Linked DNA regions of Notamacropus eugenii. The protein of the gene in region 2 interacts with the protein of the main gene of each other region in a biochemical or structural test. Links are inferred from orthologs where the notes say so. Each region holds a gene or a part of one and is shown on either strand. Other genes may lie near its edges. The genes, in order: EPN1 and REPS2.

The links.
Region 1: the proteins of REPS2 (region 2) and EPN1 form a complex in vitro, tested with the Homo sapiens proteins (3 studies listed by BioGRID and IntAct, with this or other methods). The link is inferred for Notamacropus eugenii from reciprocal best matches to the Homo sapiens genes REPS2 and EPN1.

The regions. Positions count from the first base shown.
Region 1 is NC_092876.1:18,166,752-18,176,991, forward strand, and holds the start of EPN1 (epsin-1), read left to right. Parts: upstream 1-5,998; coding exon 5,999-6,226; intron 6,227-6,310; coding exon 6,311-6,560; intron 6,561-8,579; coding exon 8,580-8,704; intron 8,705-8,898; coding exon 8,899-8,973; intron 8,974-9,180; coding exon 9,181-9,264; intron 9,265-9,358; coding exon 9,359-9,653; intron 9,654-9,801; coding exon 9,802-9,921; intron 9,922-10,010; coding exon 10,011-10,097; intron 10,098-10,240. Other genes in the region: U2AF2 (splicing factor U2AF 65 kDa subunit), read left to right, coding at 986-1,102, 1,394-1,532, 2,949-3,028, 3,150-3,272, 3,481-3,579, 3,843-4,091, 4,259-4,393. UniProt on the Homo sapiens protein: Binds to membranes enriched in phosphatidylinositol 4,5-bisphosphate (PtdIns(4,5)P2). Modifies membrane curvature and facilitates the formation of clathrin-coated invaginations. Regulates receptor-mediated endocytosis.
Region 2 is NC_092876.1:372,761,749-372,772,494, reverse strand, and holds the start of REPS2 (ralBP1-associated Eps domain-containing protein 2), read left to right. Parts: upstream 1-5,992; 5' UTR 5,993-6,157; coding exon 6,158-6,511; intron 6,512-10,746. UniProt on the Homo sapiens protein: Involved in ligand-dependent receptor mediated endocytosis of the EGF and insulin receptors as part of the Ral signaling pathway. By controlling growth factor receptors endocytosis may regulate cell survival.

The DNA.
Region 1 (10,240 bases), about 350 Mb from region 2:
GACGGATGATGGCGCAGTTCCAGGGGCCGGGGGGGTGGCCCTCCTTTCCTCCCTCCCCTTCCCTCCCCCCCTTACCCAGGGAGTACACATGTGCACCTACTGGAGAGAGGGACAGAGGCTCACGCACGCCGTCTCCCCGAACCCCGTTTTTTCTCTTGTTCTCTGGCGCCGTCTCTTCCCCTGTTCCCTCCCGTCGTTGCAGTTTTTTTTGGCCCCATTCCCCATCCCGCATCCCTCTCCCCCCCCTTTCCCTCCGCCCCAAGAATCCCCAGATCAAAGAGTTGTTTCCATTTCTCTTTAAAGTGAAAATTGTGGGGCTGAGATCCCTCGTAGCAATTTTGCTACCGTCGTCCAAGGCAAGTAAGGGCCATTCTGGCTTTTCTCAAACCTGCGCTTTTTGCTACATTTGATAAACTAGCCCCCGGAATCCAGGGCCAGGCCCCTCCACATCACTCTTCTCTCCCTCCCCCTCCCCGTCCTCTCCCTCCTCTCTCTGTCCTTGTCTGCTCTTGTGCTCGCCCTCCTCCCCTTCTGCTGCTCACACTCCTCCATTGACCTGGGTCATCTTGGCCCCTTCTCGGCGGTGTCCCTGCTCTGCCCTGCTCCTCCTCCTCCTTCCTGACATCATTTCCCCTGGTCCTTTTGGCGCTTTCTGCCCCCTTTTTTCTTTTTATGCTGCCACGATTCCTTCTCTATCCCTTTTGTTTCTTCTGTTTTCTCCCTCTCTCACGTTTCTTTCTGTACTCTTGGGCCTTCTCTTTGGGACCTTGAGTATTTCCTTTCTCTGTAACCCTTTTCTGCTTCTCTTTATGCCTCTTACCTTTCTCTTACGGTTTCCTATCTTCCCCTTCAAATCCCAAATCTCCCCATTCTCCCCTCCCACCCCCTTCCCCCTTGCCCTACCCCCACTCCGTGTCTCCCTCTCTCACCCCACCCCTCCTCTCTCCACCTCCCCTGCCCCCCCCTCTTTCCTCTCCCCCTGCAGGAAGCCATGATGGATTTCTTCAACGCCCAGATGCGCTTAGGGGGGCTTACTCAGGCCCCTGGCAACCCAGTCTTGGCCGTGCAGATAAACCAGGATAAGAACTTTGCCTTCCTAGAGGTAAGCTGGAATGGGGAACCTAGAGGCCATAAGGTGTTTTGAAGAGGGTGCTCTGAAATCCAGTTTATTCCCCAACTCCCTGTGAGTGAACCTCGGCCAAGTCTGTTCTCCCCCAACCTCTTACCTTGGGTAGTCTCTGAACTCCTTTGCCCTTGTCACCAGTTGTGCTGCTAACTTGTGGCCTCGTACGGCTCTCTTCCTCCATTTTCCCAATGAACGGTGAGATGAGGGAGGGCATTGTAATGAGCTTTTGATAATCTACAGCGCCACATTTCTGTTTTCTTCTTTTAGTTCCGATCAGTGGATGAGACGACTCAGGCCATGGCCTTTGATGGCATCATCTTCCAGGGCCAATCACTTAAGATCCGAAGGCCCCATGACTACCAGCCACTGCCTGGCATGTCTGAAAACCCCTCTGTCTACGTGCCCGGTGAGGGAGCCCTAAATCGTTTTAACCCTTCCTGCCGTGGTAATCCCTAGTTGGGACTCCTTTGGAGGGCCTTGGAAGTCTGGGTAGACCACAAGCTCAGTAAGAGTGGGTGAGATGCTGCCCCAGCCATTGTAATAGGTGGTCCAAGGCCTCGTGTCCAGAGCCCAGGACAAGAGTCCTATTTTAGTCACTTTACATCTGGCAGGAGCCTGGTTCAGTTCTGGGGACTGTATTTTAGAACTAAGCTGGCCAATAAGTACCCAGAGGCTATTGAGGTGGGCCAGTCCAGAGGCAGGACACCCAAGGAAGAAGGTTGAAGGAGCTTGGTGATGATAAAGAACATTTGGGGGAAGGAGGAGGCGGCAGATCGCGCTTCCTTCTGCACTCACATGTTTTCAGGGCTCCACAGGGGAGAGCAGGGGGCACATCATTCAGCCTGGGCAACCCTTCTGGAATATTGTAGGAGATTCCTTGCGGGCAGGTCAGAGCCTAGGCAAACACTCCCTGGGCATTTTATTCTTGCTCTTTCTCCTAACTCATGGGTCTTAGCTTAAGAATGAGATCTTACTGGTAGCCAGTCAAGTAAGGTCTTTGTTGAGCATGAGATTGAGGTGTTTTGAGGAAGCTCTGCATACCAAATGCTGCGATCTAAGCCCAGCCCTTCTTGTGTGTCCCTGGGCCTCAGTTTGCACAGTTGTTGTGACCACTGGTATGGTTTTTCTGCCAGAGCCTTGAACTTGGGGATCCAGGGTCACTGTCTCTGCTCTGCTGCTCTCAGGCATGACCTTAAGCAAGCTTTTAGTTTTTTCCTTTGTGCCCTAAGGAGGTTAGAATCGACAATCTTTCAATACCCCTCACTAGAAATATGCCCAGCAAGGACCTTCTGGCCCTAAAGCCAGTGACTCCCCATTTTTTAGAATCTAGAAAACCCCAGAATCTCAAGTTGGCTTTTTCAGTGTTAGCCGGCTCTGCTCTTCACTTCTTAGGCCGGGTGGCTGGAGGAGGCATTGATTGCCGTGAGTGCCGTTGGTGGGCTGGTCTCACACTTGTGCCTCACCTTGCCCTTCTTGCCGGGGTTGCTGCTCTGAGGCAGTCATCTTAGCCCATGGTCACAGCCATGGTGGGATTAGCTGAGATCTCCACAGGCCCTTCCAGCTGGTCAGGGCACCCTGCTGGGCCTGGTCCCCCTCTGTAACAAGAGTTGGTGTTTAACCAGATGTTTAATGTCCATCCTGGGGAGGGGTGTTTGTTGGTGTCCCAGAGGTTAGTCACATTCTTGGTTTCTGCTGCTGCTCCTGGGTGTTTGGAGCAGAAGGTGGGTTGCAGCGGTGTGGACCCCATGTAACCAGATCTCCCCAGGCCCTTGGAGGCCGAAGTGACCTCCCACTGAAGGGCTGCCCCTCTCCATTCCTGCAGGTGTCGTGTCCACTGTGGTCCCAGATTCTGCTCACAAGCTGTTCATTGGGGGACTCCCCAACTACCTGAATGATGATCAGGTAACCACCTGCCAACTTCCCCTGTCACCTGCTTGTCCTCTTGCTTTCCCTCCCCTGACTCGCTCCATTTCGTCCCCGCCTCCACCCCGCCCGCCCGCCACCCCCCACTTCTCCACCACAGGTAAAGGAACTGCTGACTTCATTTGGGCCGCTCAAAGCCTTTAACCTGGTCAAAGACAGTGCCACGGGCCTCTCCAAGGGCTATGCCTTCTGTGAGTACGTGGACATCAACGTCACTGACCAGGTGAGTGTCCCTGGAGGACCTCTGCCAGTGGTCCCTGTGTGCTTGGGCTAAGGGGGTCAGGGAGGGTCGGTCAGCCCCCTGGGATGGGTGGGGAACAGCCCTTCTGCCCCTGCCCCCACTCCAGTCAGGGGTAGGGGGAGGTTGGGGAATTTGGCCCCTGACCCACACTCCCCCCACGCCCGCCCCACCCCCACCCCACCCCCTGCAGGCCATCGCGGGGCTGAACGGGATGCAACTGGGGGATAAGAAGCTACTGGTACAGAGGGCTAGTGTGGGAGCCAAGAACGCAACGCTGGTGAGCCCTTCGGCACGTCATCTTCCATTGGCTAGGGGGCCCTGGGGGGTGGAAGGGGGGGTGGGATTGGGCTGGGAGGAGCCGAGTGGACAGGCAGGCCAGGCAGAGGGTGGGCAGCAGCCTGGGGGAGGTGGGGGGGGTGTGGGTGTCCCACTGGGGTGTGGAGTCTAGCAGTGGGGAGGAGGAGGGGGGTCAGCTAGAGCAGCGATGGCGGGCAGGGGTCCGAGGCTCCCAGGCCTGTGGCCTGACCCCTCCCTCCCCGTGGCCCCCCACAGAGCACGATAAACCAGACGCCGGTGACGCTCCAGGTCCCTGGCCTGATGAGCTCACAGGTGCAGATGGGTGGCCACCCCACGGAGGTGCTGTGCCTCATGAACATGGTGCTCCCCGAGGAGCTGCTGGACGACGAGGAGTATGAGGAGATCGTGGAGGATGTCCGGGATGAGTGCAGCAAGTACGGGGTGGTCAAGTCCATCGAGATCCCCCGGCCTGTGGACGGTGTGGAGGTCCCCGGCTGCGGCAAGGTCAGGAGGAGCCCTGCACGTGGCCCGGGTGGGTGGGAGCAGACCGCGGGCCGGGCCCCGGCCCCCCCCCACCCCGGGCCGGGCCCTCCCCCCCCCCCCCCCCGGCCGGACCCCAGCCCCCCCCCCCCACCCCGGGCCGGGCCCCAGCCCCCGCGCTCTCTCCGCAGATCTTCGTGGAGTTCACGTCCGTGTTCGACTGTCAGAAGGCCATGCAGGGCCTGACTGGCCGCAAGTTCGCCAACAGAGTGGTTGTCACAAAGTACTGCGACCCCGACTCCTACCACCGCCGGGACTTCTGGTAGAAGCAGCCGGGGAGGGGGGCCGGGTCAGGGGGCCGGAGCTGGCTGGGAGACCCCCCCATCCCTTCCCCCTCACTCGACCCTGGCCAGGAGAGGAGGAAGAGGCGCCTCGGAGGCCGAAGGCCGGGGGCTGAAGCCCTGGGCAGGGGAGGGGCTGGGGTGTGGACACACACACACACACACACACACACAATACACACACGAACACACGGGGATGGGGGATGGGGGAGGGCATTGGGGGGGTGGGGTGGGCCCCCCTCCTCCCCTCGCGGTAGCAACATAGCGTGTTTATATTTTACGGCCAAAACTTTTTCAATTTTGTTCTCCTGACCTTCGACCTCTGCCCGCCCAGGACCATAAAGCTCCTCTTCCCGCCCCGCCCCTTCCTGGGACCCCGCCCCCTCCCGTGATGGTTTCTTATGTAGTAGAGATGTTGTTTCTCTCCGCCCGTCCCCTTCCTGTCCGCCCCGCCCCCCTTCTCCTGGCAGTTTCATATTTGCTAAAGACGAATTTGCTCATTAAACATTTTGTTGTATTTTACTTTACGGAGCGTCCAGTGTTGACTCGGGGGTGTGGGTGCGACCGCCCCTCCCCCTGCCCCCGTCAGTTACACCTGTCGTGGTGACGTCACTGACGCACTTGGCGTTCTCCCCGGAGTGAAGGGGCCGATGGGGGCGGGGCTCCGGGGTTCGGAAGGCGGTGCCTCGCCGCCCGCCTCAGTGTTCCCATCTGTAAAAGCTTCGGGCCAATTCCGGAGGGCCCTGCCGGATCCCGAACCGGACCGCACACTCCGTCTCCAGGAGGGGCGGCTTGCATGCTCCGTTCCAGCCCTCGGTTTGCCCTGCCCCCAGCGCGCGGCGCTCTAGCCGCTCTCCTCTCGGTGGTTGGGGCCTGAACAGGAAGTGACGTGGCGGGCGGCCAGCTGAGGGAAGCCGGAAGCGGACGGGGCGCGACTTCCGCTTCCGGCCGTCCTCTTCCCGGCCGCTTCCCCTGCGCTCGGCGGCTGCCCCCCGCCCCCTCCCGGGAGCCGGAGCCCGAGGATTCCCGGGGTGAGCGGGTGAGGGGGGCGGGGCGGGGTTCCCCCTCTCTGTTTCCGCCGCGTCCCTGCGTCCCCCGTCTCGGGGTCTTCTCCCCGGCTCTGTCTGAGGTTTCCGGGTCCCATGTGGATGCGTCGACCCCCACCCCTCCCGTGCCCTCTGGGACCCCGGCCCTGCTCGGCCCGTCTGCCCCTGCGCTCTGCCCCCTCCCTGCCGCGCTCTCCCTCAGTTTCCCCCCCTTGCCCAGGCCCTGGGCGAGCTGTCGCCGCGTCTTCTTCCCTCCCGGCTCCTGGCCTTGCCTTGTCTCTCCTGAGCTTCTCTGGGCTGGACGGAGGCCCTGGGGCCGGGCCCTGGGAGGTGCAAGGACCTGGCGGTGGGGAGGGGCCAGGGGCTTTTGGCGTTGGTCTGCGCACAGCGGGGGGCCGCGAGCGTGCTGGTGGGTGGCCCCCCCCCTCCGGTGCACACCCATTTCCCGCCTCAGCGCCTCTCTCGGCCTCTGCGCCCCCAGATGCGGTGACCGGCTCCCCCTTCCCTGGCCCCCTCCCGCGGCCCCGGGGGCGGCCCCGCAGCCATGTCGACTTCGTCGCTGCGCCGGCAGATGAAGAACATCGTCCACAACTACTCGGAGGCGGAGATCAAGGTGCGCGAGGCCACCAGCAATGACCCCTGGGGGCCCTCGAGCTCGCTCATGTCCGAGATCGCTGACCTCACCTACAACGTGGTCGCCTTCTCGGAGATCATGAGCATGATCTGGAAGCGGCTCAACGACCACGGCAAGAACTGGCGGCACGTGTACAAGGTCAGGGGCGCCCCGGGCCGGGGGGCGGGGGGCGGGGGGCGGGGCGCTGCGAGCTGCCCCGGGCCCACCCCCTGCTGCCCTCAGGCCATGACGCTCATGGAGTACCTCATCAAGACCGGCTCGGAGCGCGTGTCCCAGCAGTGCAAGGAGAACATGTACGCGGTGCAGACCCTGAAGGACTTCCAGTACGTGGACAGGGACGGCAAGGACCAGGGCGTCAACGTGCGGGAGAAGGCCAAGCAGCTGGTGGCCCTGCTGCGGGACGAGGACCGCCTGCGGGAGGAGCGAGCCCACGCGCTCAAGACCAAGGAGAAGCTGGCCCAGACGGCCACGGGTGAGAGCCCGCAGGGGAGGGAGGCTTCCTCGTCTTCCCCAGCCCCGCTGCAGCCTCCTCTTTATCAGCCGCAGACGTTGCCTGGGGTGCGGTCCTGCCTGGGACTGAGATAGAGGGCGCCTGGGGAGCCCGAGAGGGAGGGGAGCTGGGGAGCCCGAGACGGAGGGGAGCTGGGGAGCCCGAGACGGAGGGGAGCTGGGGAGCCTGAGACGGAGGGCGCCTGGGGATCTGGGGAGCCCGAGAGGGAGGGGAGCTGGGGAGCCCGAGACGGAGGGGAGCTGGGGAGCCCGAGAGGGAGGGGAGCTGGGGAGCCCGAGAGGGAGGGGAGCTGGGGAGCCCGAGACGGAGGGGAGCTGGGGAGCCCGAGAGGGAGGGGAGCTGGGGAGCCCGAGACGGAGGGGAGCTGGGGAGCCCGAGAGGGAGGGGAGCTGGGGAGCCCGAGACGGAGGGGAGCTGGGGAGCCCGAGACGGAGGGGAGCTGGGGAGCCCGAGACGGAGGGGAGCTGGGGAGCCTGAGACGGAGGGCGCCTGGGGATCTGGGGAGCCCGAGAGGGAGGGGAGCTGGGGAGCCCGAGAGGGAGGGGAGCTGGGGAGCCTGAGATGGAGGGGAGCTGGGGAGCCTGAGACGGAGGGCGCCTGGGGAGCCCGAGAGGGAGGGGAGCTGGGGAGCCCGAGAGGGAGGGGAGCTGGGGAGCCCGAGACGGAGGGGAGCTGGGGAGCCTGAGATGGAGGGGAGCTGGGGAGCCTGAGACGGAGGGCGCCTGGGGATCTGGGGAGCCCGAGAGGGAGGGGAGCTGGGGAGCCCGAGAGGGAGGGGAGCTGGGGAGCCCGAGAGGGAGGGGAGCTGGGGAGCCCGAGACGGAGGGGAGCTGGGGAGCCCGAGAGGGAGGGGAGCTGGGGAGCCTGAGAGCCTGAGACGGAGGGCGCCTGGGGAGCTGGGGAGCCTGAGACGGAGGGCGCCTGGGGAGCCCGAGAGGGAGGGGAGCTGGGGAGCCTGAGATGGAGGGGAGCTGGGGAGCCCGAGACGGAGGGGAGCTGGGGAGCCTGAGATGGAGGGGAGCTGGGGAGCCCGAGACGGAGGGGAGCTGGGGAGCCTGAGAGCCTGAGACGGAGGGGAGCTGGGGAGCCCGAGACGGAGGGGAGCTGGGGAGCCCGAGACGGAGGGGAGCTGGGGAGCCCGAGACGGAGGGGAGCTGGGGAGCCCGAGACGGAGGGGAGCTGGGGAGCCCGAGAGGGAGGGGAGCTGGGGAGCCTGAGACGGAGGGGAGCTGGGGAGCCTGAGACGGAGGGGAGCTGGGGAGCCTGAGACAGAGGGCGCCTGGGGATCTGGGGAGCCTGAGACGGAGGGCGCCTGGGGATCTGGGGAGCCTGGGGATCTGGGGAGCCTGAGACGGAGAGGATCTGGGGAGCCTGAGACGGAGGGCGCCTGGGGAGCTGGGGAGCCTGAGACGGAGGGCGCCTGGGGAGCTGGGGAGCCTGGGCAGGGCCTTCCTCCCTCCTCTCCCAAAAGGCTTGAATGTCCTGTTTCCATGTTTCTGCTTCTCTTTCCTCTCTTTCTTCCTTGTGTCTTTTCTTTTCCCTGCTTCTCTCTCTTATCTCCGTCTCTTCACTTTTTGCTGTCCCTTTTCCATCCTCCGCTCCATCTCCTCTCTTGATTCTTGTTTCTGGTATTTTCCTGTCTTAGTCATTTTTGGAGTACCTACTACGTGTTGGACACCACATGTGCTCAGCATTGTGGATGCAAAGAAAAAGCAGTCGTTCCCCCCTCCCCCAAGTTCTCAGGTTCCGTAGACCTTGTGCCCAGGCCAGTCCATGCAGTCTGACCAAAGGGAGTGCCTGGTAGTGGGGGCAGAGGTGCTGAAGGAAAGCATGGAGATGAGGACATAGCTAACAAGGGTGCCATCATGTGTTCTCTCTTGCGTTTGGGGGCAGGACCAGACCTGGGATGTCTGTCTTTAGTGGGAGGGGACCTCCCTGGAGCTAGGCCCTGTCCCACCCTTCCCACCATTGTTTCCGCAGCATCTTCAGCAGCTGTGGGGTCTGGGGCGCCCCCAGAGGCAGAGCAGGCCTGGCCCCAGAGTAGTGGGGAGGAGGAGCTACAGCTGCAGCTGGCCCTGGCCATGAGCAAGGAAGAGGCTGACCAGGTAGCGGGGGCGGGGGCCTGCTGGGGGGCAGCGGTGCACTGGGGTTTGGCCACATCTCCTCTCCATCTTCCTCATCCTTCACTTCCTTAGCCCCCAGTCCAGCCTCTTTCAGGCTCTCTCTGGCTCTCCTGGCTCTGCAGCTCTTTCTTGGTCCTGCCCCGCCCCCCTCACATTCTCTCTCCCCACCCTGCCAGCCCCCACCCTGTGGCCCTGAGGATGACGTCCAGCTCCAGCTGGCCCTTAGTTTGAGCCGGGAGGAGCATGACAAGGTCAGAGCCACGTCCCCGCCTCCCCCCCATCCCCAAGGCCCAAACCCCCCACCCCGGGCTGCAGGCGTTCAGCTCCCCTCATTCCATCCCCTCATGTTTATTTGCTGGTTACCTTTATGGGGAAAGGGTTCTTGGGAAGTTGGGGGGCCAGTATGTGGGGGCCGGTCCTAATCTTCTGTCTTCCGTCCGGGTGCCCACATCGCCCAGGAGGAGCGGATTCGTCGGGGCGATGACCTGAGACTGCAGATGGCCATTGAGGAAAGCAAGAGAGAGACTGGGGGCAAGGAGGAGGTGAGGGGGCCTGGGGTGGGAGGGGCTCTGCAGGGTCTCTCTATACTCCCCCCACACCCAGTTCTCTCACATTTGATCTCTTCTGTCTCCCCAGTCGTCTCTCATGGATCTGGCTGATGTCTTCACAGCCCCAGCCCCCCCACCCTCCTCTGATCCCTGGGGCGGTCCTGTCCTTGCAGCTGGCCCACCTTCTGACCCCTGGGGGGGGCCCCCAGGACCCCCTGTCCCACCCTCAGCTGACCCCTGGGGGGGTCCGGCTCCCACCCCTGCCTCTGGGGACCCCTGGAGACCTACCCCACCCCCAGGCCCTGCAGCTGATCCCTGGGGGGGCCCCCCTGCTCCCCCTGCTGGAGAGGGGGGGACCCCAGACCCCTGGGGGGGAGCTGATGGTAAGTACTGACTTTGTCAGTCTCTAGTTCTGTTCTTTCCCAACTACAGAATCTCTCTTTGCGGGGCATGGAGGGGGGGGTCCTTTCCTACTCATCCCCTCCAACCCCCGTGCTGCCTTCTTGCGCACTCCCCTGATCTTGTCCTCAGGCCCAAGTGGGGCCCCAGTCAGCGGCCCATCCACCACTGCTGACCCATGGGCACCAGCACCAGCCTTCTCAGACCCGTGGGGAGGCTCCCCAGCCAAGCCCAGCACTAATGGCACCCCAGGTAGCTGGGAAGGAGGGGCTGGAACAGCCTGAGTTGGGGGGGAGGGGCTCGTGCCTTGGAGGCCCCAGAGCTTGCTCTGTCCCATGCAGCGACTGGAGGCTTCGATGCAGAGCCAGATGAATTCTCTGACTTTGATCGCCTTCGGACAGCACTGCCTGCCTCAGGCAGCAGCACCGGTGAGCCAATCTGCCCCACTGATCCACCTGGGGAGGCTGCTTGCCAAGGGTGGTATCAGTCCTTGTTCTCCCTAACTATGGCCCATAACCTCAGTTTCCTCATCTCTGAAATGGAGAAGGATGTCCATCTCACTGCATAGTTG
Region 2 (10,746 bases):
TCCCTATGCTTCCCCTGCCACCCTCCCTTATACAGTTGTATGATTCTGTTGGCAGGAGGCAGAAGGACTTCACAGGAAATGTAAAAACAAAATCTAAAAGCAAACCTGGAATCTAGTGAAATTTTAAGTGTTTTCTACTTGAAAAATCTATTCATGACAACACTGACATAACTCCTTCCAAGGATTCAACTCAATTCAATTTGATAGACATTCATTAAATGTATAATATGTGCTGGGGATACACAGATGAAGAGTAACATAGTTCATGTCCTCAAAGACTTTATCATCTAAAAATATCCCAGCTACACAAATGAATATGGGATAAATTAGAAAGTGATAGGATTCCAAAGAATGATAAAGTATAACTTTTATACTTGAGTCTACAGTCTAGTAAGGGACATAAGAAACACATAAACAATTTTAGTAAAGGTAACCTGTGAAAGGGGAAGAAGTGTAAGACAATACTATGAGAGTTCAGAGAAGAGACTACATAATACACATGGAATTAGAGAAGGGGGAGATCAATGTAGGTGTCAAGTGATCTCTCATTTATCATCATATCTTCTGTAGAATCCTTGCAAGCTTTTAAACATAGTAGGGACTAAATCAACATTTCCCTAATCAATGATGTTTTTTATTATAATCCATGGCACAGAACCCTCAGGCTCTGGACTTATTTGGACTGGATTGAATTTCAGGGATAGTACTCACAACCAGTGACTAGTGTTCAGTGCCCCCAACCAGTTAAATCTAGGCAATTTCAGACTATAACTTAAATATAACTAATATCTAACACTCCATAGATGTGGTTAACATGATCTCTACCTCCTCTATAAGTAATCAAGATTAGTCAGTCAGTTGATCAATAATCATTTATTGTTGTTGAGTTATATCCAATTCTTCATGATCCTATGGAACATTGCATGCCATTACTGTCCATGGGGGTTGGCAAAGGTACTGGAGTGCTTTGTCATTTCCTTCTCTAGTGGATTAAGGCAAATGGGGTTAAGCCACTTGTCCAGGGTTACACAGCTAGGAAATGTCTGAGGCAGGATTTGAGTTCAGATTTTCCTGATTCCAAGCCCAATCCACTATCCACTAACTACCTCCAAACATTTCTTTTTTTAAATAACTTTTTTAAAAAAAAATTTTAAAACATTTTTATTTAAAGTTTTGAGTTCCAAATTCTATCCCTTCCTCTTCTCTCCCCTCCCTTAGATGGCAAGCAGTAAGATATAGGTATCCAGGAGCAATTATTTTCCACATTAGTGCAAGAAGACTCAACTAAAAGAAAAAAAATGAAAAAAAGGGGAAAATAGTATGGTTCAGTTTGTGTTCAGTCAATATCAGTTCCTTCTCAGGAGGCAGAGCATATGCATCATCATTAGTTCTTTGGAATTGTCTTTGATCATTGTATTGCTGAGAATAGCTAAATCATTTGTAGTTCTTCAGTGAACAACATTGCTGTTACTGTGCACAACATTCTCCTGGTTCTTTTTCACTTCACTACGCATCAGTTCATGTAAGTCTTTCCAGGTTTTTCATAAATTATTCTGCTTGTTATTCCTTATACACAATAGTATTCCATTATAATCATATGTCACAGCTTGTTCAGCCATTCCCCAACTGATGGGCATTCCTTTGATTTCAATTCTTAGCCGCTACAAAAAGAGCTGATGTAAATATTTTTTGTACAATAGGTTCTTTTCCCTTTTTTGGGATGTCTTTGGGACATAGACCTAGCAGTGGTATTGCTAGATCAAAGGACATGGCACAGTTTTATAGCCCTTTGAGCACAGTTGCAAATTGTTCTCCAGAATGGTTGGATCAGTTCAGAATTCTATCAGCAATGCATTAGTGTCCCAGTTTTCCCACATCCCCTCCAACATCCAATATTTTCCTTTTTTGCCACATTAGCCACTCTGATAGGTGTGAGGTGATACCTCAGAGTTGTTTTAAATTGCATTTCTCTGATCAATAGTGATTTAAAGCGTTTTTCAGATTAATACAGATAGCTTTGATTTCTTTGAAAACTGCCTGTTCATATCTTTGACCATTTATCAGTTGGGGAATGACTTGTATTTTTATAAATTTGACTTGTTCTTTATATGTTTGAAAAATGAGGTATTTAATAGAGATTGCGTTGCAAATTTTTCCCCTAGTTTTCTGCTTTCTTTATAATTTTGGTTACATTGGTTTTGTTTGTGCAAAAATGTTTTAATTTTATACTCAAAGTGTTCTTGTAACCAGAATTACAAAATTTACATTTTGTAATGCTCTCTGTATCTTCTTTGGTCCTAAGTTCTTCTCTTATCCATAAATCTGACAGATAAACACCCAATGTGATGGCTTTAATTTTCCCAGGATTGGAAATGTACTTGAGGATATTAGATGACAACCAGCGGCTTCCCATTGGATATGAACTTTATGTACAAATCACAAAACAGAACACAAGATAAAATGCAGGTCTTTGACTTGCCCATATTATGGATTAGACTTCCCTGCTTTTCCTTAAGCTTCGAGGGCCACATGCACCATTGTTTTCTCTCTCTAATTGACTGCCATTCAGTGCTCAGGAATTCAAGTTTTAATACTTGCCATCGGCCAATCTTTCATAAGCGTTTATTCTTTTTTTAACTAGTTTTTTATTTGAACTTGTAATGGCTCCTTATTTTTTATTTTGTAATTTAGAAGAGAATTTATATGGGTCTGTTTTGAGGAGAGCGCTTCATAAACTTTATAAACTCTAAAGTGATATATATATATATGTCATTTCTATTATATGTTATACTTTCAAGTGAAAATACTTTTAAAATTGTAAAGCCCCCGTGAAAGGCTGGATTCCAAGACTTGAATTTGGGGTTGCTAGTGAGGCAATCCTAAGGCAGTTAATGCTACCCAGGAACTCTCCATTTTTCTCAACCAAAAGACTAGATTCTGGGAACTTGCTATCCAGGAAATTCTTTCTTCCTTTACCCAATAAACTAGGATTCAGCAATGCTCAATATGTCTCTAGAAATTTTGGACTTAGGAACTCACCACTTTGATTATGGTTACCATAATGTTGAGAACATGTCTGCCTCTACCACGGGCTTCCAGGGCTAGGTCCAAGGAATGGGGTCCAGGAACACAAATCTGTCTGCTATTATTTCTGGGGCCTGGGGTGGGGGTGGTTGGTCAGTGCCTGAGGATTCAGGAAATATGCTAACAGGGAAAAAAGGTAAGAGATAGAGCGTGGGATAAAGATTCTGTTATATAGTCAGCAGAGAATGGGCAAAGGGAGGAGGATGGTGGCTCTTCCCACCAGACTCAGTTTGTCCCCTATAATTTACAGTGAGTTAAGAATGGGTCACATGGTCTTGTCACCTCTCTTCCTTGGGAGATGGTATCAAAGGTTAACCAACTTATATGCATAATAACATGTTGATCGGAAAACTTCCCTATTTAACTCCCTACATACGCTGTGTAGAAAAATTTTACATAGAAAACCTGCCACCAGTTTCTCTCCTCTTGTCTCTTAAGCAGCCAAAATAAGGAGACAAGTATTCTAATGTCTGGCTGTTTTGTTTGTTTAATAAATCCTCTAATAAAGTTCTAATATCTAATAATGTCAGCTTGGCCAGGAGGTCACCCAAGATTTTCAAAGTCTATGCCAGAGGAGATTAAGCCCTGGCTTGTTGGAGAGACAAGAGTATGGGCCATACATATGTGTGCATGTATCAGTTCTACAGGAACTAGCTTACAGAAACTATATTCTGAAAGTCTTATCATCAGGTTGGAAACAGAATGATGACTTTTTTTTCAATCATGCCATCTATTGATTTACCATCTACCAAGTGGTAGAAGAGTTGAGATCTGGGTTGGTAGAAGAAAGGCTTACAGAAATGAAATAATAGATCCCTGAAGTATTTGCCATATATTCATATCTCCCATTCTAAAATTTCTAAAGAGAATAGGCTGACAATTTTTCTTTCTTAAAAAGCCTAAATGGGACAAATGGTTCATTGTGTGTGTTGTTCTTTAACTTTTTCCTTTGGGTCAGAGACTTTTTCCTACCTCCCCACTGTGTGTAATTTAGTTTAATGACTTACTTCCTTTGAGGAATATTTTAAAATTTAAAGACACAGACAGGGGGTCACTTAGTCCCTTGAGCCAACCAAGTCTGGAAGAATGTCTTGATAACCTTACAAAGAGAAACTAGCTTAATTTGCATTAGGAAGGGGTTAAGATGTTGCTGCTACCAGAGTGGAGATTAGCAGACCCTCTTGCCTAGCCCTCTTAAGTCATTACTTACTCCATTTATATATTTGAAGATGTTCTAGCCCAGGATGGTTGATGAATAGAGGTAATTTCTGTGGGGAGTCATTCACATTATTTTAATGTCAGGAGAAATAGGGGAAGGTCTCTAGGCAGACCATCTGTGTTGAACTACAGGAGAAAATGAAGGAATGCTATGTAGGATAGAGATGAGCAGGCATCAATGGATTGTAATCTCCACTACTGGAATAAATAACCAAATCATTGAGAATAACACTCCATTTGGAGTGTTAGGGAAAAGAGCCCTACTGTTGCCCTACTCATAGGATCATAGATTGAGAGTTGGGAGGGATCTCGGAGATCATGGAGTCTAGCTCCTTCATAAGTGTTAGTTGTCCACTAGGAGTGCCTGGGTATGTGATGGGGAAACTGAGGTCAAGTTGACTTGCCCAAGGTCAAATAGCTAATAAGTGTGGAACCCAAGATTTAAACTAAGGCCTTCATGACTTCCTCTGTCCTCTTGTCAGTCTTTGATAAGCTCTGTTTTTTTTGGTATACCAGTTTTTATTTTTAAACAAAAATGATTCCTTCCAAGTCGTAAAAAATATAATAAAACTTACACAGCGTTGTTGTGAGGGTTGTATACTTCCTCCTGGAAAGTCTTACTCTGCTAGGTAAGGGAGGAAGAATGTACAGTATAATGGAAAGGACACAAGATTAGGGATTTAGTCCTAATTTTGTCACATCTGTCTGTTTAGGCTGGACAATCATTTCACCTCTTTGGACTTCAGTATTCCTAAAATCAGATTTTGGCTAGATAATCTCTAGCATCCCAGCTAGCTTTATGATACATTATTCCTGTCGGTGCCCAGCCCACACACACACACACACACACACACACACACACACACACACACACACACACACACACACACACACACACACACACACACACACACTCTCTCTCTCTTTCTTTTATTCTCCCTCTGACAGCGGGGCTCTAACCGTGTCTGCATTCTCCACGCTAGGACACATTTCTAAGAAGACTGTCCCCGTCCGAGTACTGAAATGGCACCACAAAAACACCAGGGTGACGCTTATTCATGATAACACATGATCCCATCCGTGGCCGCAAACATCTGTGTCGGGCATGAAGGACACCTGCTCAGACTCCGGGGTGGGGCGGGAGGTACCTCTCCCTAAGCCTGCGGCGGACAGACCACAGCTCGGTAGGTAACTGCACCTTCTCCTCGCTCTGGAAAGAGGCAGGGTAGAGCTCTCTGCCAGGCTGGGGGTGTACCATCTTCTCCATACCCCCTTTCTTGCCCCTCCCGTCCCCAATAGGTGTGTGCAGGGCCCGCAGGTGGAACTCCGGGCGAGGGGCAGGGGTGCTGGTCACCTGGGGCATCACAGCGGCAGAGCAGGGCAGCGGCTGCGCGCACAGAGCCCGGCGCGGAGGCTGGAGGCGGGGAGAAGGCTCTGAGTGTGTGCGGGAGTGTGGGAGTGTGGGGCTGTTAGTGGTCGCGGGCCCGGGGATCCCTGGCCTCTGATTGGCTAAAATGGCGCCTCTCTCTGTTTCCATGTGGTAGGAGCTGCCGCGGCACAACATTAAAGGAAGGGAAAGGGGGAGGGGGAGGGGTTGGGAGGCAGCTTGAAGGAGGAGAAGGAGAAGGAGACCTAGGGGACGCGGGCCCGGCGGCCGGCTGCTGGCGGAGTCAGGGTAAACGCTGCAGAGGGCTTGGGGGGAGAGAGGCCGGGGTGGGAGGTGCGGTGGCCGCGGCCGCACCAGCCAGCCCTTCCGCCTGCAAAGTCCAGCTGCCGCAGCTGTCCCCGGGGTCCCCGCCTCCCCGCGCGCTTCCTTGCCTTGGCCGAGTTCCCTTTCGCTGCTCGCGGGCGGCCCATGGAGCAGGGACCAGCGGCGGCGGCGGGGACGGCGGGGGCCGTCGGGGCAGCGGCCAACGCCAGCGCCCCTGCTGCGGCTGCGGCTGCGGGCGCCTTGTCGTCGGGGGCCGGCGCGGGCTACTGCCCGGTGCCCCTGCCCCTGAGTGACAGCGAGCAGCAGCGCTACTCCGAGCTCTTCGCGCGCTGTTGCTGTGCCTCGGCCACCTCCTCCTCTTCCTCTTCTGGACACGCTCAGCCACCTCCGGAGGTGGGCAGGGGAGCCCCGCTCCCCGGACCTGCAGCCGCCGCAGGGGCCAGCCAAGTGGGAGATCTGTTCAGGGCATCGCAGCTGCCCGCTGAGACCCTTCACCAGGTGGGTGAGGGAGCGCCCCCGGTGCCTTGTTCCGGGGGCCGGCCGGCCGGAGGAGACCGGGGCTGGGCAGATTGGGGGGCTGGGAGGGAAGGGGGCCGAGGAGGAGATTCGCAGGGCACTGACGAGGCGTGGACAGCGGGAGGGTGCCCGGGCTCGGACCCTCCTCCTCCCCAGGGCGGAGGGGTTGGGGTTTTCGCCTCCCTTGCCCACTCAGATTCTCCGAAAAGTTCAGCCGCCCACCCCCGAGGTTTTCAGTATTCCTCCCTCTCCACTTCCCTCAGACATTTTTGGGAATGTCTTGGTCTTTACCTTAGGGACCGAAAGTTTGTTGGGTGCGGGGGCGGCGGTGGCTTTTGTTTGTTCGCCTCTGTCCCTCCCTCTCCGGTTCCTCTTCTCTCGCGAAGAACTTGGAGGACGAATCCAGAGTGCGTGGGAAGGGGCGAATAGGAACTGGGAGAGGAAAGAAGGGCTGTGTGTCTGTCTGTGTTTGTACAGCAGGCTTCCTCTATCTGGGCTCTGGAGCATTGTTACTCCTCAGACTACGCTGGCTCTTCCAGAAGAGCTTGAGACTTTCTGGGTCAGATTAAGTTAGTTGGAGGGAGACAGGGGAAGGCCAGGCTGTTGACTGATGGTTGAGGTTTACGTTTCTGAACGCTTGTTCCCACTTGGACGCTCCAGACCTTCCATGGATTGAAGTCTTTAGGAACATATGCTCCGCCTCCTCTTCTGCTGAGACCAGGTGGGAGGCTGATTGAGAGAGCCCGAGGGCTTTATTTAAATGGTGGAAGAAAGCCCATCGGGCACCATCTTTTTTTCTCTGATTTTCTTGTTCAGGTGCAAGTGCTCTTTGAGCCCCGTGGGTGTTCTGCTGCAGCCCACGTTTGGTGGTGTGGTATCATTTTGAGCATCCAGCTGTGAGCTGGAGAAGGGCCTCTGACATATGGAATATAAAAACTTCTTACATTAATTTGACTTTAGCGTACTCAGAATACTCACCTGAGTAGTGTTGTGGCTAGACAATGGAATTGGTAACACTGTGACAAGGCAGATAAATAATCTTTCTCTTTTAAAAGTTTGTAGGTATGTATCACACAGTTAAGTCCTTTATGCACCCATGTTTATCCAGTCTTCCTTTAGCCAGTGTGGTTGGTCCTTTTCGCTCCCATCTGCAGAATTCAGGATTGCTTTTTCTTTCAAAAATTATTATATCAATGATATTAGCAGTAACTTGGACCTTTGTTCTGAGTTCAAATACAACCTCTGAGAGTTACTAGCTGTGTGACTCTGGGCAAGTCACTTATTCTCCATTTTTCTCAGTTCCCTTTTCAGTAAAATGGGGATGATAATAATAGCACCTACCTCTCCAGGTGTTTGTGAAGATTAAATGAAATAATATTTGTAAAGTACTTAGCACATTGCCAGCACATCGGAAGTGCTATATAAATAGTAGCTATGATGATGTTGATAAGACTGATTGAGAGGCACTGATGTATAGTGAATAATATTCTGGAGTCTAGGAAGATCTGAGTTCAGGTGTTGCCTTAGAAATGTATTAGTTGTGTGATCCCAGGCAAATCACTTAACCTCTGTTTGCCTTAGATTCCTCATCTGTAAAATGGGGATAATAATAGCACTTAACTCCCAGGGTTTTTGTGAGGAACAAAATAGACAGTCATTGTAAAGCTCTTATCACAGTGCCACGTGCACAGTAAGTAGGCACTCTGTAAATGTAGCTATTACTACTACTACTACTACCACCACCACCACCAACCCCAAATTAGCACACTCATTCTTGTTGCTGGACTGACTAGGCTAAAAAATACGTACTTTTAAATCTTCTTTTCCCACAGGTCTTAGGCACATCATTTTATAGGTAAGCAAACCATGTCACCTGAAGTAAAATGAGAACTCACCCCAGTTATATGGATTCAGAGAATATCTTTAGAAAGTCACTTTGAGCCCATAGTGGAGTGGGGGTGGAGGGATGGGAGGAGGAAGCTGCTCTCTAAACACAGATCTTTATTATTAAAATTAAATAAGGTTGTAAGAATGCCTACCAAACCCTTATTAAATCAGCTTGATAACACCCACAGGAAAACTGAGAGATAGAATACTCTACCACCTTCTCAGTTATGGGGGAAGAAATGACAGGACCAAACAAAGTAGGTCACACAGTAAGTCAGTGACAAAGTTGGGAACAGCATCATGTTGTGGTGTCAAGAAATTCATAGTGTGATGGGTGAAGGTGGGAGCGGGGGGGGGGGGGGGGGGGGAAGGAAACATTAAATTTTACCATGTTGTTTGTCAACTTTTGCCTTCCTGAGACAGGGGGACTTTAAGGATGTGAGTATCAAAGTTCTGTTTCGAGGTGTGTGTGGTTAAAAAGAACCTAGAGCATTTCCTGTATGAGTGGGTAATGTCCAACATCTTGATGACTGAAAGAAATCCATTTAGAGGAGATTTCTTGACCTCTCTCAGATGTTAGTTTATGGGGCCATTTCTAAATAGATGTGGTGTACAACACATGTATGTGTCCCTCTCCTCCAACTTGTTTTTTTTTTTTAAATAAAGACAAAGTTAGATTAAAATGAACATCAAGAGCAGTCATTTAAAAACAACAACAGTTGTAAGTTACTTCCATTTCCCTTGACCGTTGCTTGGTTTGTGTTAAGGATTGTTGCTCATGATTTGCTTTACCCTAGGTGTGGCTATTAAGATCCTAGTCACTCTATTAAGTGAATTTAGACATTCTTCATTCTTAACCTTTTCCCCCTATCTAACAGAAACCAATAAGTTTAGAATTAAGTGGACGAACAGGTATGACTACTTAAAGCTGGAAGGCCTTAAACTTCTCAGGCTGTTTCTATGGCAACAACCACTTTTCTCTTCCCCCCTTCCATCAGCATACAATTAAAATTTACAAAGTGTTCTGGAGCTTTACCTGCAGAAAGTATTCTTAGTACCAGAAACTTTCTTCCCTCTTCAAAATTGGTTTTCCGATTGAATTTTGTATCTCAAAGTAAAAATGAAACATATGCCTGTTACTTCATATGACATGCACATGTCTAAAAAGTTATGTCTAAATTAAATGATAATTTAGTTGCCTTGGGGGAACTCCCATTTCAAAGAGACTCTGCTTAATATCTTTTAAAATAAAGTAATACTGGGAAAAGTTTTTTCTTTTCTTTCTTCTCTTTTCTTTTTTTTTTATTTTTGCAGACAAACCTGTACTAGAAAAAATGTAAAATGAAATAATTCTAAACCAGAAAGATAAAATATGAAAGCCTGGGAAATATTTGTTAAGAGTGTTAGTCTTAACATATTAAGGTAACAAAAATACTGGTTAGAATTTCTTGACGTTGGTTATGGCCTAAAGAATACGGGAAGACAGGTGAGTTTCAGGGGTTTTTTTGTTTTTGTTTTTTAGAAATGGGACAGAAGGAAAGAAGCTCCAAATGGAAGCAGCAGGCAGTATCAGTAGAAAGACTAGGAAAAGAAAAGAAAAGAAAGGAAAGCTGTTTCCAGACTAAGAAGTAGCTGGAATATATAGATAACCTGGCTCACCTCATTCAACCCCTGACTAATCTTTAGCACAAGAGGCTCTGTCTCTCCCTTTCTGTCAGGGACTCCTTTTCTCCTTGTTCTCTGTATCAGCCTATGGAACCAGTGTCTGACTTGATAAGGTTGACAACTGTATTTGATACTATCTTCCCCTTAATTTGCTTCTGATTTGCTTAAAACATAAGGCACTTGTTTGTTTAGAATTATATTTTCACATGGTGACTACCCAGCATGGTGCCCAGGTGAGTCCCTCAAGAAACCTGTCCTGGCACTAACACTGGATATACCATTTAATTTCAATCAGCCTCAGTTTCCTCATTTTGTACGACGAGAAGAATTTTTGCTCTCCTTACCTCACATCTGCATAGTCCCTCTCTGGTCAGTCAATCTCTCGTTGAGACATTTGGTCTTCTACTAGAGACCTCATGATGAGTATTTGTATAAATAAAACCATTAAATAGTTGTAACTTATATGCCAACAGCCATCTCAAGCCATGATGAGGCTGGGAAAGTTGACTTAAATCCCAATAAGAGCCTTCCAATGAAATCATTATATACTTTGAATCTTGGTGCAGAGATGGGTGTGGATGAGAACTGAGATAAATGGGTTGGAAAAGATAGTTCCAAGATTAAGGAATGACAAATGCTAGAGCAGGGTCTCTTCATATTTTTTT